4 linked regions of the Arabidopsis thaliana genome follow. The protein of the gene in region 4 interacts with the protein of the main gene of each other region in a pairwise test. Each region holds a gene or a part of one and is shown on either strand. Other genes may lie near its edges. The genes, in order: TH7, AT1G11940, CaS and PERK15.

Region 1 (3,272 bases), 2.5 Mb from region 4:
CTTCTGCTCTTGTATCTTTTTCACACTTTCTGTTTGCAAAAATATAACTAACTTTATTGAACTATTATACAGAACTATTTTATAAGTAACTGTAATATATTGCTTAGTAGCAGAAAAGTAAATACAGAGGTATTGAACTAATTGTGTTACTCTTCCTACATAAATTAAAAAGAGAGAAAATCAACAATATAAAATTGTATGGATACGATTTCATGGAATAAAATTCTTTAGATTGTGGAAAAACTTATATTAGAATCTTTATAGATCGAGCTAGGAATAAAGAAATATGTGGGTAGCAGAACTCATGCAACCTTTAAGAAAGTCATGTGTAATATTATCGATAAATTATGATTAAAAAATGAATAAATTCAAAGGCAAAATCTAAATTAAAAACGATTTTCTACACATGTTTAAATATCTAAACGTGATTAGTTTACTTTATGAATTACCAGTACAATAAATATTTGAGAATTCTTTTAAGTCTTAAACTACACAATTCCAAAATTCCAAATACAGTAAAAGTAAGGGAAAGAAAGTCTTAGGAAGGGTACTTACAAATTTAAGAAGTATTCCTTAATGTTTTCAGTTTTCTAAAAAACTTGTTGTATTTCTTTGATAACGCCTTCATATATATATATATATAATATATATATATGCATATTTTGATCCCAACATATATATATTTAATGTTTTATAAAGCATACTTTGATGCAACATTTCTACAAGTTTTTTTTAGTTCTTATAAAACAGTGGTGTTTCAATTTTATTAGAAATCAGACCAAAAAATGGTTTCAAATTAATATTTGCAAATCGAGATCTTAAACCCCAACAATATGTTCTAAAATTTAAGATATTCGAGCATCACCGAACTGTATTTTTGAATCAGCATTCCTAGTTCCTTGAGAATGAGAATTATAAGAGGATGATGTGAAAGTTTATGGGCAAAAAGTTAAAGATGATGTTCGTGGCTACGACGTGCATTTCTTGTCCCCCAGTATCGAATAAATTGTTAATTTCAAACTCATTTTCGACAATGATTCCTATAAGTACTGAAATGGAATAAGAAGGACCTTGAGGAAGAATTTGATGACAGCTTCTTTTTAACACAAATCAATATTCTTACACACGGACACACCAAACAACATTACAAATTTACAATGACATGCATGGTCATTTTGCAAATTTTTTTCTCGTTTTATTCTAATCTAATTTCGTTCTGTAAAGTTTTATGTAAATGTAAATTAAAGATTTCAGTAAAGACATAAGAGTATCACCATCAATTAGGAAAAAAATAAAAATGAGTTCTCATTAGAAACTCTCCTGCCATGTGACATTTTTATTTTTATAGTAATTAATAGCATTAATATTATATAGGTATTAGATCCTTGAAGTGGATGGTGCATATATTATTTAAACAAAACAAATTTTAACTACTTTTAATTTATAGCGTTGACAATAACTAATTAATCTAAACTAATAAATCAAGTACCTAGGCTACCATTTTTTAATTAGAAAATCGATCCGCCGCGGATTGTTATCCACCCACAAAAATAAAAAATTCGTTTGCAAATGTGATAGGCAAGCTAGTTCCTTGCAACCAGCTATATTTTTATGTAGTGGAGAATATTTAACAACTAACTGGAATTTTAAAAACACAAAGCGAAACTAAATTGGTATAAGCTATATATTCTTGAAAAAATAAAAAAATCAACGGCTAGAACTAAAGAAGGATAGCAAATTGAATCATATTCCTTTGCATTTACTTATTTATTTATAACCAACAAATTAAGTTCTCCGATTAAAAGCTATATAATGCTCCTCCTTGTCTCTCTTCTTTGCATATCAGTATATCACTAGCAAATAAGTGAACACCATTTCTTCATACATACACATTCCGAAGATAATGGGTTCCAATGTTTCATCTGTGCATGATGTTCATTCATCAATGGAAATTACCAGTAATGGATTTGTTGTGGAAATCGAATCAAGAAGACAATGGAAATCTCTCTTTGATTCCATGAAAGGCTCAAACAAATTGGTATACATTACTCGAAAACTACCTAAAACGTATTAAATTTTTTTAACCAAACTTATAATGTTTGTTTTAAATCTTATACTATTTGTGTTTTCTAATTTTGTTTACAAGTAAATGACATGTTTTTTCTCTTAAACTAACTGAAAAAATTATTGTGGTTTTGAAGCTAGTAATTGATTTCACAGCTGTATGGTGTGGACCTTGTAAAGCAATGGAACCTAGAGTTAGGGAGATTGCTTCAAAGTACTCAGAAGCTGTGTTTGCTAGGGTTGATGTGGATAGGCTAATGGTAATTACTCTTTTTTTTTATTACTTGAAGAAGAATCATCTTATGGTTTCAAGACTAAGCTATAATTGGTATGTATTCCAGGATGTGGCTGGGACATATAGAGCTATTACACTTCCAGCTTTTGTTTTTGTGAAGAGAGGAGAAGAGATTGATAGGGTTGTTGGAGCCAAACCTGATGAGCTCGTGAAGAAGATTGAACAACATAGGGTTTAAGTTTTTTCTTTTCCCTTACAAAAAAATGATTATTATACTTTTGAATGTCTGTTCTGAATTGATTGTTTGAAGTTGGGTTTCTGGTTTGTTGTTTAATTTCTCAAAACAATATAAATAATAATGTCAAAAATGAAAACAATTAACAAAAATGTTGTAGTTATATTTGTATGAAATCTAATCACCCCAACGTAAGCAAAACAACATAACAATGGTAATGTGAGTATGGCGACTAAAAGAACTATACCATAAAAAAAAAAAAAAAAGAGTCCCATTCCAAGTATATGTTAAAATACTAAATGGAAAAAAACAAACGTTACATAACATTTTCGAAGAGCTTGTATGAAGTTGAGAGTTACATATATAACTTATGAAAGCAGAATAAATTAGATAACAACAAAGATAGCTTTTACAACAAAAAACAATCAATTCTGCTTACTATTTCGTGATCAAGATATGAGATCAAAAACGAAAACCGATCAATTCTGTATATGTATGTACACTGAATTGACCTTTTGAATTCAAGAGCTTTCTTGAAACTAGTTGCCAATTCAGCTACCACCAAGAACTCTCTTGAGATCTGTCTTCTGTTCCGATGTTAGCCTCGAGGGGAAACATATCTCAAAGTTGATTCTTAGATCTCCTCTCTTTGAACCTTCTTTAGAGATGGGCATTCCTTCACTAGGAATCACTATCTCCTGACCCGGTTTAACGATATCCAAAACCGGGATAGTCAGA
Region 2 (5,069 bases), about 15 Mb from region 4:
GCTGAAGCTGAAGGATTGGCCTCCTTCAGACAAGTTTGAAAACCTTTTACCTCGTCACTGCGATGAGTTCATTTCCGCATTACCATTTCAAGAATACAGCGATCCTAGATCAGGAATTCTCAACATTGCTACAAAACTTCCTGAAGGACTTCTTAAACCAGATCTTGGTCCAAAAACTTATGTTGCATATGGGACTTCAGATGAGCTCGGTAGAGGAGATTCAGTCACTAAGCTTCACTGTGATATGTCAGATGCTGTAAGTTTCAGAATTGTTACTTAGTACTGTTAAATAATAATACGGTTTCTCAGGTGTATAACGGTTTTTTGTTTTTGTAGGTTAATATTCTGATGCATACTGCTGAAGTAACACTAAGTGAGGAGCAAAGGTCTGCAATTGCAGATTTGAAACAGAAACATAAGCAACAGAATGAGAAAGAGCTTCAGGAGCAAAATGGTTTAGAGGAAGAAGAGGTTGTGAGTGATGAGATTGTGGTTTATGATGAAACAAGTGGTGCACTTTGGGACATCTTTAAAAGAGAAGATGTTCCTAAGCTTGAAGAGTATCTAAGGAAGCATTGCATAGAATTCAGACATACTTATTGCTCTCGTGTTACAAAGGTAAGAAATAATCCACAAAACGTTTTCAGTTCCGAGTCTTAGAGGTTATTGTGCTGATAGGATTCTTTATGTTAGGTGTATCATCCAATACATGATCAGTCATATTTCTTAACCGTGGAGCATAAAAGAAAACTCAAGGCAGAATTTGGTATGGTTACTTGTAACTGTAGTAACTGTCACTTACCGACATTGTATTCTTACGTTTTTGTGTTTGTTTGTTTGAACTAAAGGGATTGAGCCATGGACATTTGTGCAAAAGCTAGGAGAAGCAGTGTTTATTCCAGCAGGTTGTCCTCATCAAGTTCGGAATCTCAAGGTTATTATTTGAATGGAAGCTGTCCTATTAACTAAACTTTTTCTCATTATCTTTAACTTGTATTATGGATTTTGATACAGTCGTGCACAAAGGTAGCTGTTGATTTTGTTTCCCCTGAAAACATCGATGAGTGTCTCCGTTTGACTGATGAGTTTCGACAACTCCCTAAGAACCATAAAGCCAGAGAAGACAAACTTGAGGTGATTCTTTTTCTGATATTTTCAATTTTGGATTAGCAACTTCTGTCAATGGATACAGTTTTGTTTGTAGTTGAATCTTGTTTTAATCTTTGCCATGTGAACAGATAAAAAAGATGGTGATCTATGCAGTTGAACAAGCTCTGAAAGAAGTGGAGACATTATTGCTAGATCGCAGCTAAAAGCTCTATAGCTTTGTTGTTGTAGGATTAACAGCAGATTTTGTAGAATTGTTAAAGCCATGGCTATTGTAGTTGGCTTTTGCTGTGATATATGTATGTAAAAGAGACAAGTGTCTCTTGAAAAGAATGATTTCCTTTTTTTCAAATGGGATTTTGATGTAACTTTTCCTTTTCCGGTCTGTTTTGGCATATGAATGAATATTTGATGTAAGCTTCTTTTGTATAGTTTTGTATCTTTACATCATTTTGAGAGCAAATGAAAGTTTATGATATGAGAGCATCATAGATTCATAGTAGCAAATACAATTGGTTCAGTTGTTGCTTGCAAATTTTTACTGCAGTAAATATGGATTGTTTTGTTTTCAAAGGTTTTAAAATGACTTAATACATTAATTTCCAAAGGTTTTGTTTTAAGGTATTTTTTTTTTTTTTCTAATTGTATAGAAGGAAATACAATAATTAATATTCCTAGTCAAATTGTATAATTTTCATACCATTTTCTGACAATTTCAATTTCGGACAACAATTTAATGATGTTCTAATTTAACGTGGGTCCCAACTAACTTAAAACGTGTACGTGGCTTACGACGTCGTTTACAAGTTTATACGTCGAACTATCAACATCATTCTACCTTTCTTTCTCTCTTTCTCTCAAAATCCAAAATGTTGTAATTTGCAATTCTTCAGTTTCCGTTTCTCTCCTGAGAAATTTATTGACTTCAAAAACCCTAAAAAGACTTGTGATTGTTCGTTTCTCTAACTCGAATGTTGATCGTACGACGGTGAGTGATCGTAGTACAATGACGAAGAAATCACAGCCGCAGATTCCGCCTCCATTGTCCCGTCGCGGCGGCGTCGTGTGGCTGGGATGGAAACTCGTAATCGCTTTCTCCGTCGCGCTTTGCCTTCTTGCTCTTCTTCGAATCCAACTACAGTACAATTCCTTCACGACATTGTCGTTTCCACTCTCCGTCGCGAGATCTCAGACACCGCTTCACAAATACTCCGGTGATCGTCCCAAGCTCGCTTTCCTTTTCTTAGCTCGCCGTGATCTCCCACTTGATTTTATGTGGGATAGATTCTTCAAGGTCAAAAAAGATTCTTAGTCCTATTAATACTTGTCCGTTATTCTAAATTTCGAAAAAATTGCTGATTCTGGTGATTTTGCAGGGAGTGGATCATGCGAATTTCTCAATTTATATACATTCAGTACCTGGTTTCGTGTTCAATGAAGAAACTACACGATCACAGTATTTCTATAATCGCCAATTGAACAATAGCATTAAGGTGAGTGTTCATGAGAATTTCTCCATTTGATGTTTTTTTATAGTGAAACTTAGGGTGGTGTTGTTATGGTTATAGGTAGTATGGGGAGAATCAAGCATGATTGAAGCAGAAAGATTGTTGCTTGCATCTGCTTTAGAGGATCACTCCAATCAAAGATTTGTTCTTCTCTCTGACAGGTTTGCTTCTTTCAGCATTACTCTTTCAGATCATCTTATGCCTGACCACTTATTGCATCTGACTTTGAGCACATTTGTGGTTTGTACGGACTTATTTCATTTTCATCTACTTTCTGTTTTGCAGATGTGCTCCATTATATGACTTTGGCTATATATACAAATATCTTATCTCTTCACCGAGGAGTTTTGTGGATAGGTAGATTGAAAGTCTGAATTTATGAGGTTTCTTAGTACTTCATACTTGATATATATGGCCTGATAACTGGTGTATTATAAGAGGAGTTGTCTAGATGTTGATAACTATGTTTGTTGCTCTCTATTGGCAGTTTTCTTCATACTAAAGAGACACGGTACAGTGTGAAAATGTCTCCTGTCATACCTGAAGAGAAATGGCGAAAAGGATCCCAGGTATCTTCATTTTCTTGCTTAGGAAATGAACATTGCTACCAAGATTTTTGAAGCCTGAGTTTCTTGTGAAAATTTAAGCATTAGGAGGATAGGGACCTTTTAAAGTTCATGAAGTTTTTAATCTCATCTTAGTTTTATCTATTGCAGTGGATAGCTTTGATCAGAAGTCATGCAGAGGTCATTGTAAATGATGGTATCGTATTCCCAGTTTTTAAGGAATTCTGCAAGGTAAAGATTAAGCTTTATGATCATGACTTTAATTTCAATCTTGATTCTTTGTTGCTGAAGAAACAATAACTTACTTCTTGATTTCTCTTTCGATTTGCAGAGATGTCCACCTTTAGGTACCAATGAGGCATGGTTGTTTCTTGTAAGTGCTATTTCAAAGTTGGTATTTTTCATTTAATACCAGCCTGAATGTTTATGTTGATTCTTTGTGTTGGTTTCAAAACAATCTCAACAGTGTCTTTTCTGTAGTCTATGAATACTTCTCTCCATTGATTAACCTCTTTCTTTATTAAACAAATGGGGAAACTTTTATTACGTTTGATGTGAACTCAGAAACAGAAGCGACGCAACTGCATCCCCGATGAACACTATGTGCAAACATTGCTTACGGTGACCATCATATCTGATACACATCTCTCTCATTTTTGTTTCCATCTAAAAAGTTCCATATTGTTAATGTATTACAAACTGACCATTTCAGATGCAAGGACTAGAGAGTGAAATGGAACGAAGAACAGTGACATACACTGTATGGAACGTTTCAGGTACAAAATATGAAGCCAAATCTTGGCATCCCGTCACTTTCACATTGGAAAACTCCGGCCCTGAGGAAATAAAAGAAATAAAGGTACAATCTTTTTGTTCAGAGGATTAATATCACAACCGAATGAATCCCTAAGTAATCTCTCTAGTTCTTTTGCTTTTCTCGGGACAGAAAATAGACCATGTCTATTACGAGTCTGAATCTCGAACGGAATGGTGTAAGGCGGATTCGAAACCCGTCCCATGCTTTCTCTTTGCAAGGAAGTTCACGAATGAAGCTGCTATGCGCATTGTGAGTGAAGGACTAATAGGATCATCAGCAAACAAAACCTTATAACTTTGCAACAGTGTAAGCAAGTAGGTCAAGCAACAGAGCGTATACATAGAGTAGGAATAGCATTGATACATTACAAACATCCCTCATGAGGTTTAATGGTTTATGATTATATATGACGCTTAGTAAAAACTAATAATCATTCTTCATGGATAATCTTGTGTTTGGGTGTTAAAATTTCTATGTGTATATGTCTGAAGAAACTGGCTTCGATTAATAGAATATGTTAATAGCAAATTCTACTCTGGATTGATGTCTTTTACTCATTCTCCTGGAAATTGTTAAAAAAAAACTAAAATTTTCAAGGACTCGAACACACAATAATGAAGTACATAAACACTTAACCAAAACAAACTTTTTAAACAAGTGACCTTACATTTTTCTTTATAGTTGGTAGCGTAAAGCACATGTTTTGGTTGCTTTATGGGCGGACTGGGCCTAGTTCGTCGGAATTCTAAGCTTCTTTTGCAAATCTGATGATTCCATAGAAATGAGTCAAACGACGAGCCGTTGGACGGTAGTTGAGCTCAATTGGGCCACATTTTTTGAAAAAATTTGTTCACTAAAATTAGCTTAAAAAAAACATTTTTTTAATTGGGCTACAACAATGCAATTATTCCAAATCCATAGTATTGGCATTGTCATTTTTATAAAAATCTCTCTGAATCTTTTAAGTTCAAAAATCTTAACCATTAAAAAAATTCCCAACCGACTCGAGCTAAGCCTAGCAATCATAAAAAAAGGAAAACTTCCATTAACGAAAACTTCTCATCAGAAACT
Region 3 (4,396 bases), on a different chromosome or scaffold from region 4:
TCAGTCTATATACATTATGTAGTGGTACTGATCTCTTACACCTTTTTTTTTTGCTTTCTCTTTTCGACTTTTGATCATCATCTTATTTGGTTTATGTCTTTTATTTATTGATTTCAGTCTATATACACTATCAATTTAGATTGTATGGATCAGTAGAGCAATATATGTTAGTCTATATAAATTTTATTTAATTTGGTGTAGAATCCGTTAGCAAAATAGACAATTTTGTTACAATTCGGAGTGACCGGTGTTACAATTAATATTAATTAGACAACATTTTGATTAAAAATAGTTTGTATATACTTCAACTATTGCACAATATTTATAATAGTTTTCAAAATTTATATCTTGGTTTTCACATGATTGAAAGCACTAAACTAAACTCCACAAAAAAAAAAACTTGTCTAATTTTTATTATCTTCAACCATTTGTAAAATGGATTTTCGGCAAAAAGCTATTGGCAATCCCACTAAGTGATAAGGCTAGGCCACACACACACACCTACCAGATGGTCCAAAATGATTGTGCATCTATGTGATATTACAATTAGTTGTCCATAACTCATTATGAATTTAGTCTTTATCCCAATTTTTTCCTACCACTATAGGCCAAACTCATCCCGGTTTTTGATCATACATTTTTTCTTTTAGATGATTAGCTACTACTTCAGTTTGATGTAATCTTTTCCATATATGATCATCAATGTAAAAGACAAGTAAGTAAGTAATTCGAAAATCTTATCTTATCAAAAGATCTCTCAAAGTTGAGAAATAAAGGAATACTAAACAACACTTGTAAAACTATATATATCCTCTGTTTTCAGTCGGAGCTAGGAAGGAACTTGGTTCCGGACCTAGTGCCAAAGCTTCTCGAAGCTGCCGGGATAATCCGCGATGGAGACAAGACTTGTGCAAACGAGAAGTTGTAAGAATCAGTGCCTAAACGGCTCTGCAACCATCCTCTGCCACCAGAGAATCCATCTGTCACAATATAGCAATTCTTGTACCCGAGAACCTTTAACGTTTTCGCCACTATCTTAGCCGAATCCGTGTACCTACGAGCCAAAAAGACCAATAAAGATTAAGCAAGATTCACAAAAAAGGTCTTGTAAAAGAGTAATAATCAAAACTCACGAGTCCAAGATGATGATATTGGAGCCTTTGTTGATTTTCTTGAGGTAAGAAATCTTTAATGCTGCTATCTCTGCTTCAACTCGTTTAGAGTTCCTCACGATTCCTTTTACTTTGTTTGGTAGTTCTTCTAATCTGATAATCACAAGAACAGGTTCAATGTTTTGAGTATAATAATAATGAAAAGAATTATCAAAGTTAGATAGACACATACGGAATGGAGATCACGCGGTTCTTAGCATTCGAAGGGAGCCGTGGAATCCCGGCTTTCTCCTTGTCTTTCTCTGATCTTATATCCACCATCAAGTAGTTCTTGGTGCAAAGAAGGTCAAGCGTTTGAGCCGGCGTAAGATCACCTTTATTAAAAAAACACAAACCAGAAACACAGAGTAATTGTCAGCATTTTGCTATGGTGAATTAGACTCTAGATACAAAATAGATCACTAATAACCAAATCAAAAACTTATATATGTTCTCAAGATGATCTATATGGAGTCTTGAGGTACCTTTGTAACCACGGAAGTTAAAAGAGATGGCAGAGAAAACAGGAGGGAGAAGAAGGTAAGCAAGAAACGCAGCACCAGCAGCAACAACAATGACACTAGGGTCAGCTGAAGAAATCGTATCCATGGTCGATGAAGCAATCGGTTTAGCATCTTCTATCGCTTTTGACGTCTGTTGTGCTACATCTGTTACTGTCTACATCCCAACCAAAACACAGACAAACCACTTCAAACCCTAAACCCCAAAACCTAAATTGTTATGTTCTCATACATATTTGAATGTAAGAAATCTGACCTTTGCAGCATTAAAGACAGGCTCAGAATCAAAACCAGAGCTCTGCATTGCTTCTTGAGCTTTCTTTGAAGCTTCAGAGAAAGCAGGAGAAGCAAGCTTCATAGCTTCTTCACCAGCTTGCTTTGCAATGGGTAAAGCAGTGTCCAAAGCTGGTTTAAGAGCATCTCCTACTACTTGGAACACACGCTGCGTTGCATCAAATACACTAGAACCAGTTTCTTGAACTTGGTTGATTGTTTTCTCCACCTGTTAAGACACAAGAACACTCATCAACAAAAAGGAGACATTTTGGTCATTTCAAGAAGTAAAGTGAGATTATTATATATACTTCAGTGAGAGAGGAGACGATTTGGTCCTTGGGAATGGAAACAGCAGCTTTAGCTTCATGAGGAGGAGATGCAAAGAGAGATAACAGAGAGATTGAAGTTGATGTTGGAAGTGAAACAGAGACTTGTCTCAGACTCAGTGTCTTCTTAGTAGAAGAAGAAGGAAGAGTGAGTTTTGCAGATAGTGAAGACTTCGTTGCCATTTCCGCCATAGCCATGGTTTCTCTCTGCCACACTTTTTTACAAATCAATGCGACAGAGAAAGAGACAAAGAATCTTTAGAGCTTCTCTTCAATGTTGTCTGCAAACTGTTTCTTCAAGTACCTTTTTCTAAAGATTATAAATAAATTGAGTTTTCTGGTTAAGATTGAAGGAAGGGGATTTGAAAGATGGATTCTTATTGGTCAGACTAATCCTACGTGGCATTTTTGTGTTAAAGCTTAGCCGTTCGTTGCCAATCCAATACTTTGATATATGTCGTACAAGAATTTCATTGTAGCAGTAATATCAGAGGTGTACTACAGAATAAGAGCAACAAAAAATGAATACTGTACATTGAAACATGCTTATGGTTGTACACGAAGTAGCTATCTGTTTTAGCCGCCTCTTCTAACAATGAGTTCCATCAGTTCGATTGGTAATCAAAGAAGCGGTTCAACCTCCGCTCCAAGCGCCTCAAATTGTGTTACCAATCAAAGCCAATAAACATCATCTTGTATGAACCAAGACCGAAAACTGCTATTAAACTTCATTCCGTACAAAACCAAGTATCTTAAATTGGACTGATGTTGGTTTAGGTTCCGTTCTTGTGGTTCCTGTTTACTCTCCTAAAAATTTGAACAGATTTGAGCATGCTGATCAAGTGAAGTAAACTACCTACACTTGGTCAACCGTCTACTAGTAAAATTATAGACTCACTTTATTAACTTTCCCATGATTGAAGGAAGACGAGCAAACACACATGATCACTAGTTCCATAGCATTTACAAGTATATAATTCCACAAAATGTATAGTAGTACCATTACTAGACCTTAAAACAAGCAAGCTCACCATTTAAACTATGCTATTAAGTTCATGTTTGTTAAAGCATCAGCCTAGAGAGTGGTATCATATTATTAGTAGTGCTACCATCATCACAAATTCTATATAAGAACATTGTAGAGAAACAGTATTTTCTCATATTTTAACAGCCCCTCTTGTGTGAGGAATATAAGAAAGATAACAAGTCTTGATCTTGAAAAAGAACAAGATTCTCCTTTTCTTACCTAATTTGAAAATGGAATCATGATACCATTTGAAGTTTTGCTCCAAGGAATTTTAAAACCCACGAGCTAAGGAATCCTTTCACTTCACAAGATTCCCTCACCTTTTCTCTGTGCTGCCAAAGGTGAGGGAAAAAAAGAGAGGACACAGGAAGACCAATGACTTATAACAAAAGTGTCTTTTACAACAAGAAAGTTTAAGGAGTGAATTTGATTCTTCTTGAACAGCCAGTTTCATAAATAGTAATACGAAAAGAACAAGAAGTATAGCATGGCTCTCTAGAAGGTTATTAATCAGTGAATATCACCACTTGGATCCTGATTAAAGGGTTATCATCACGCACTCATTGCGCAATGTATCAAAGTTTTTGATTGTATTATACTATTCTACGTGGATTCCTTATCACTTGCCAAGAATGAACATAGTAATGCAAAAGCAAAGGTTTTAGAATTATGCAATGTCTATGTAGGTAATACTTAAAAGAGCCAGAGAAGTAAGCAAAAGCACACATTGCATCAAGAAACCAAGAGATCACAGCAAATTTCATATCAGGAACTCATAACAACATAGCCATGCTCAGGAACAAAATTAGCGTTGAGGGTCTGTAGTGACAAAAGACATAGCCAGGAAAAAAACCGATCTACTAATCTGCAAAGCTGAAGAAGTACAAGTTGGATTCAGTGGCTCAACAAACAAAAACAAAAATGCTAGATGAAGAAAGACCATATGGAACACAAACCTTGATACATACATGTAAACCAAAAGTAAAACTGCATCATCAGAATTCAGGACCATTGTTAAAAAACAGATCAATAAAAAAAAAAAGTTAAGACAAAACTGAAGTTGTAAGATTTAAGAATATGAGTCAATTATGAAGA
Region 4 (5,231 bases):
ATAAAAAAAGAATCAAAATCTCATCATTCAATGAACAAATAAAACCACATCAAATCTGAAATCTGAAGAGATGAGAGAATTTACCCGCTATCACCGAGAATGATAACCTTGAGAAGAACTCTCCGGCGAGAAGACATTGACGGAAACTTTTAGGGATTTAGCTGATTTGGTTTTTCTTTTCAGCGAAGAAACTGTCTCTGTTTTCTTCTTTCACAATCTCTCTCTTTTGGTTCTTCTTCTTCGTGTGATTTACAGAAAAAGTATATACTGTATTAGCTAAATAACAGCAAAGTTACTATTTTAAAATCTTTTATTTTCCCAAAATTGCCCCTCCTTTAATTAGTCATTAACTAATCTTATTATAAACAATTTAAAAAATTAATTAATTATACTTGAAGAAATCTTCAAACGGTCTAATTATGTTTACTTTATCAAATGTTTTGTTAATTACCATTGACTTATGTACTAACTATACTAATAATTACTCCTTCAACCAAAAATCAAACACCATGCTTATAAAAATATTATTTCTCTGAATCTAAAATCGGTTAATATATATATGGGATTTCATTTGCAAAAAAAAAAACAATTTCTTCAAAGTTGCATGGATAACAAAAGAAAACATGCTTTAAAAAAAGAATCAAAGATGTTAAAAATAACTTTCCACTCAAATAATATATCACGGCCAAAAAATAATTAAGAATCATAAAGTCTTTGATTGAATCTAATTTAATATCTTCACACCAAACTCAAAAAAATCTCCAACAAATAATATTCACGTGCAATATCAGGCTCATGACAGTTTCGATTAGAGCCACACATGGAAATAATTAAAAGTGAAAGCGCGTCTAATGAATAATGTGTTTTACACCTAAACCTACGGGTCCTACCCCAAAATGATAAGACTTAACTATTACCAAGAATCCTCTGTTTAAAGTTCATGTGTCCTTGGTATTCTTCTCCGGTTCGATCTCCTGCGTTGTACGTTGGCCTTCGGTGATACTAGACGAGCCTGATGGGTTCTGACCATTGTCGCTAGTCAAACCACTGCATTCGCTGCTACCAAATGTTTTGCTTTCGAACGCCATTTTCTTGAATTTCTTCAAGTCTTCTTTGTATTGTGTTGAGCTATAATCTGAGCTCCCGTCTAAGCTGTAAATAGTACTTTGTCCTGGGGCAGCTCCTTCTGTTAGGTCATCTATAGATATATTTCCTTCGAATGCTCGAACTATCTGCAATTGTCCAAAGAACAATGACACCATTGAACTCACAAAGTTTCATTTTTTATCCTAGTGTTAGATTGAATGTTGCCAAAAGGTTTTGATGTGATAGTTAGTACCTGGCTCATTTTTGGGCGACGTTTAGCTGAATGACGGACACTAGCAGCAGCGCAAGCAACCATTCTCGTCATTTCGTTGATATCAAAATCATTCTCTAACCGCGGGTCAACAAGACCGTCAAAGTTTCCATCGTTTAACGCTTGTATCATCAGAGGTTTTGCCTAGAGCATGAGGTAAAGTTTAAAAGCTTATTAAAAGTGGTGGTAAGGGAAACAAGATAACCAACCCAATCAACGATGCTATCATCATCAGCAAAAGGCTGTGATTTATCAACAGGACGGCGTCCGGTTATCAGTTCAAGAAGCACCACTCCAATTGAGAAGACATCTGATTTCTCAGTAAGTTTCCCTGAAGAAGCATATTCAGGAGCCAAGTAACTGCATCACAAGAAAGAAGTTTAAAAGATTGTTAGTATGTTATGAACTTATTATGGTTATGGTTGCGTATAGAAAAGAGTGTTTCGTACCCGAAGGTTCCCATAATCCGAGTGGAGACATGAGTATCAGTGTCTAAAGAAGACCTGGCAAGTCCAAAATCTGCTAACTGATGAACCAAGTTCAGCATTATTAGTAGTGCAGTCTAAACAACATTTTTATATAGTTTTACAAGTTCAAGAATACCTTCGCCTCATAGCTATCGTCAATTAGAATATTTGCAGCCTTGACATCGCGGTGTATTGTCTTAGGATTACCTGAAACAAAACAAAATCTCCTTGACAAAAACTTCAGAAACTAATGTTGTACAATACTCAAAGACAAGAACATTATACTCACAATCTTCATGTAAGTATGCCAATCCTTTAGCTGCACCCAAAGCAATCTTCATCCTCTTTGACCACTCCATTACCGGTCTCTCTTTCTCTACAAAACAACCACCATAATTCAAACAAAACTGCGGGAATTCACGCAAGCATAACTGAAAACAAGTCTTTTAAAAAAAACTCACCGTGTAAATGAAATTCGAGAGTCTTATTAGGCACAAACTCATAAACAAGCAATCTTTGAGCACCAGTGATACAATAACCAAGAAGAGAAACAAGATGCCTATGATGAACTCTACTAATAGTCTGTATCTCAGCTTGAAACTCTCGTTCACCTTGTCCACTTCCAGATTTAAGCTGCTTAATAGCAACCAAAGTTCCATCAACAAGAACTCCTCTATGAACATAACCAAACCCACCTTGTCCAAGAAGGTTAGTGTTGGAGAAGTTACTAGTTGCTTTAGACAAATCTTCATATGTAAACAAGTTTTGTCCAATCTCTGATGAACTCCATTGCTGAAGATTATTGCTATCATCTACAAAAACAGAGGAATTGAATAATCATTAAAAAAAGATTGAGTCTTTGGAAATAAAGAAACCCTAAATAAAGTACCTTTGGGATCTAGTGAGTCTCTGTTAATAGAAGCTTCGATATCTTCTTTCTTCTTCTTCTTTAACTTCCTCTTCTTTCTTTTATAGAAACAGACAAAGATACAAACTCCGAGTAGGACAAACGTAGCTCCGAGAACTACTCCAGTAATAAGTCCAGTTAATGCTACATTTCTCGAGCCTCCATCAATGTTTGTTGTTGTCTCCGGAAACGGAGCCAACGAAGAAGGTCCGATGATGGATGGCTGAGACGGAGCTGGTGACGTCGCCGTGTCTGGTGTGGTGGAAGGAAACTCCGGCGCCGGTGGAGATGAGAGGGAAGGGATAGTGTCGGTAGACATTAGATCAGAAGATGATGAGGATGATTTGGTTTTTCAGGCGTGTGTGCAGGTTTTTCTCATGGCGGAAGTGAAGACGAAGACGAAGACGAAGAAGACGAAGACGAAGGAGAATGAAGAAAGGGACATGCGGTGGGTCCCGTCCCACTTGAGAGATTTGTTCTTCTGGCAAGTGTCTCTTTAATTCTCTCGTCACTCTGTTTCTCAGTTAGTCAGTTAACACTTACCAACCATCAAAAGAAGAACTAATAAAGAGCCAAATTCATCTTATGTTTTTTATTTAAAAATATAATCATTAAGTCAACATTTTTAAAATAATAAAATTTACTAATGATTTTTAGAATCTTTAAGAAAAATTTACCATATAAGTCAACTTTTTTGCTTTTTTTTTTTAAAAAAAAAATTTTAAAATTTTTATACACAATTTTTTATATGATTTTGGATGACTCGATACAATATGTCAAATTAGAACTTATTTTATACGGACTAAACTAGCCTATATTTTCAAGTTTGACTAATTTTAGAGAAAAACTAGTCCAGCCAAAAAAAATTAGTCTAGTAAATATTCAATTCGATCGGATTTTTTTGCAAAAAATAAAAAAATAAAAAATCGATGGAATCAAATTCCGACTTTCTAATCCACAGTAAAATTGTTTCGGAAAAATCCGATTTCATGAAAATAATTTTTAGATCTAATTTTTATGGTGTTTTTATAACTAAAATTTTTTTAAAACTATAAATCAAATTTATTTTGTAAAATTAATATTATAATGTATATAGTAAAATTATCTAATCAAATTTATACTTACTACTGTATAAAAACAAGCACGACTACATAAGTATATTCACATTGTCTTGTCTGCCATTAATTTTTTTGTCTTTAAAAGTAAAAAAGAATCAAAGGGACCAACAAAAGATATGAAAAAACATACTAGTACTACTATTTACCGTGATCTTTGGTTTGTGGATTGTATCTCTCCCTAAGGTACCCATCAAGTTGAGAATTATTGAATTCTTTGAACAACTAATTCCACATCATTTTCCAAGTATTGTATCTTGGTATATGCATTCTCCTTCTATTTTTTGTTTGCTCAATAAATTGTACGCGGTGAAGCCAGCCAGATACCCGGTTTATTAACCAATCCTATGCTTCCGGAGTTTTTTTTATGTTAATCATTTACATAATAAAAAGAAAAACAATTAATGTGGTAGGGTACGGACGACAAGTAGGTAATCAATGGAAGCAATTATCAGGAACCATATATATTTGACAGAAGAAATATAATAACCGAAAACAATTACGTTTTCACAAGGAAAAACACAAAACGAAATCTCATCCAACAATGTTTTCAAGACAAAATCTGTGAATCAAGGATTACTAATAATGGAAATCCATTGCTTTGTTATGCATCAAAAAAATTTATATAGATTTGGCAATGCAATCTCAAGATCATTTTAATGATAAGGTTAATTGGGAAAAATAATCGTATTTGTCTTTGGTACGAATAGAAACCAAAACAACTTCGAATTAAACCATATCAAATTTCAAGTCACAGCTCAATAGTAAATTGCAAAACAGCAAACAACACGAACCATTTTGTGATAACCAAGAGTCAACAAAGAAATGCATTTTTTTTTTTCTTGGGTTTCACACAATGGTTGTTTTTGTTGGTTCTTTATAGGTTGAGTTATGCAAAATAATTTTTGTTACGTTCAAAACGAGGAAGAAAAAAAAAATTAGGTGTGGTGTGGTTCAAAGAATTGTCATCCAGTGTTAAAAAAACATTTTTTACATAAGTTTTTGTAGAATATTTGAGAAATTTCATTTTTAGAATATCCATTTTCAAAACTACTCTTACCTTTTATACATTATTCTACTTCGCTTGTTCAAAACTAATCACACCCTATTATTTAATCCGCTTATTCTACAATTCGCTTCGCTATCACTAGATCAAATGTATTTTAGGTTTTAAAGAAAATAAATGTTTTCGATGTTTTGTAACGATCACTTAGGTTCAACCAAATACATACCACATTTTTAATTGGTCACAAAGATACATATTATAGAACTCTTAGCATATTATCCTTGATTAAGCAAATTGCATGAAAAACATTGTTGGTGTCCATGGAAATTCATAAAATCAAAGCATTCATGCAGACTAAGACAGTAAGACCACAATCGCA

The links.
Region 1: the proteins of PERK15 (region 4) and TH7 interact in a protein complementation assay, tested with the Arabidopsis thaliana proteins (one large-scale study listed by BioGRID).
Region 2: the proteins of PERK15 (region 4) and AT1G11940 interact in a protein complementation assay, tested with the Arabidopsis thaliana proteins (one large-scale study listed by BioGRID).
Region 3: the proteins of PERK15 (region 4) and CaS interact in a protein complementation assay, tested with the Arabidopsis thaliana proteins (one large-scale study listed by BioGRID).

What each region holds. Positions count from the first base shown.
Region 1 is NC_003070.9:21,952,024-21,955,295, reverse strand, and holds TH7 (thioredoxin H-type 7), read left to right. Parts: upstream 1-1,815; 5' UTR 1,816-1,903; coding exon 1,904-2,038; intron 2,039-2,201; coding exon 2,202-2,324; intron 2,325-2,405; coding exon 2,406-2,537; 3' UTR 2,538-2,699; downstream 2,700-3,272. Other genes in the region: AT1G59725 (DNAJ heat shock family protein), read right to left, coding at 3,086-3,272. UniProt on the Arabidopsis thaliana protein: Probable thiol-disulfide oxidoreductase that may be involved in the redox regulation of a number of cytosolic enzymes.
Region 2 is NC_003070.9:4,030,991-4,036,059, reverse strand, and holds AT1G11940 (Core-2/I-branching beta-1,6-N-acetylglucosaminyltransferase family protein), read left to right. Parts: upstream 1-1,904; 5' UTR 1,905-2,113; coding exon 2,114-2,401; intron 2,402-2,483; coding exon 2,484-2,600; intron 2,601-2,675; coding exon 2,676-2,776; intron 2,777-2,900; coding exon 2,901-2,972; intron 2,973-3,102; coding exon 3,103-3,184; intron 3,185-3,331; coding exon 3,332-3,412; intron 3,413-3,512; coding exon 3,513-3,554; coding exon of another isoform or gene 3,555-3,590; exon of another isoform or gene 3,591-3,745; coding exon 3,746-3,802; intron 3,803-3,893; coding exon 3,894-4,040; intron 4,041-4,127; coding exon 4,128-4,292; 3' UTR 4,293-4,526; downstream 4,527-5,069. Other genes in the region: AT1G11950 (Transcription factor jumonji (jmjC) domain-containing protein), read left to right, coding at 1-256, 337-618, 694-766, 849-934, 1,015-1,134, 1,239-1,313.
Region 3 is NC_003076.8:7,735,941-7,740,336, forward strand, and holds CaS (calcium sensing receptor), read right to left. Parts: upstream 2,596-4,396; 5' UTR 2,473-2,595; coding exon 2,257-2,472; intron 2,175-2,256; coding exon 1,929-2,174; intron 1,830-1,928; coding exon 1,637-1,829; intron 1,487-1,636; coding exon 1,345-1,486; intron 1,266-1,344; coding exon 1,134-1,265; coding exon of another isoform or gene 1,130-1,133; exon of another isoform or gene 1,055-1,129; coding exon 820-1,054; 3' UTR 578-819; downstream 1-577. UniProt on the Arabidopsis thaliana protein: Modulates cytoplasmic Ca(2+) concentration and is crucial for proper stomatal regulation in response to elevated levels of external Ca(2+).
Region 4 is NC_003070.9:19,469,313-19,474,543, forward strand, and holds PERK15 (Protein kinase superfamily protein), read right to left. Parts: upstream 3,271-5,231; 5' UTR 3,051-3,270; coding exon 2,714-3,050; intron 2,637-2,713; coding exon 2,286-2,636; intron 2,201-2,285; coding exon 2,114-2,200; intron 2,032-2,113; coding exon 1,961-2,031; intron 1,884-1,960; coding exon 1,807-1,883; intron 1,718-1,806; coding exon 1,567-1,717; coding exon of another isoform or gene 1,502-1,566; coding exon 1,340-1,501; intron 1,233-1,339; coding exon 939-1,232; 3' UTR 508-938; downstream 1-507. Other genes in the region: RABG3d (RAB GTPase homolog G3D), read right to left, coding at 85-137.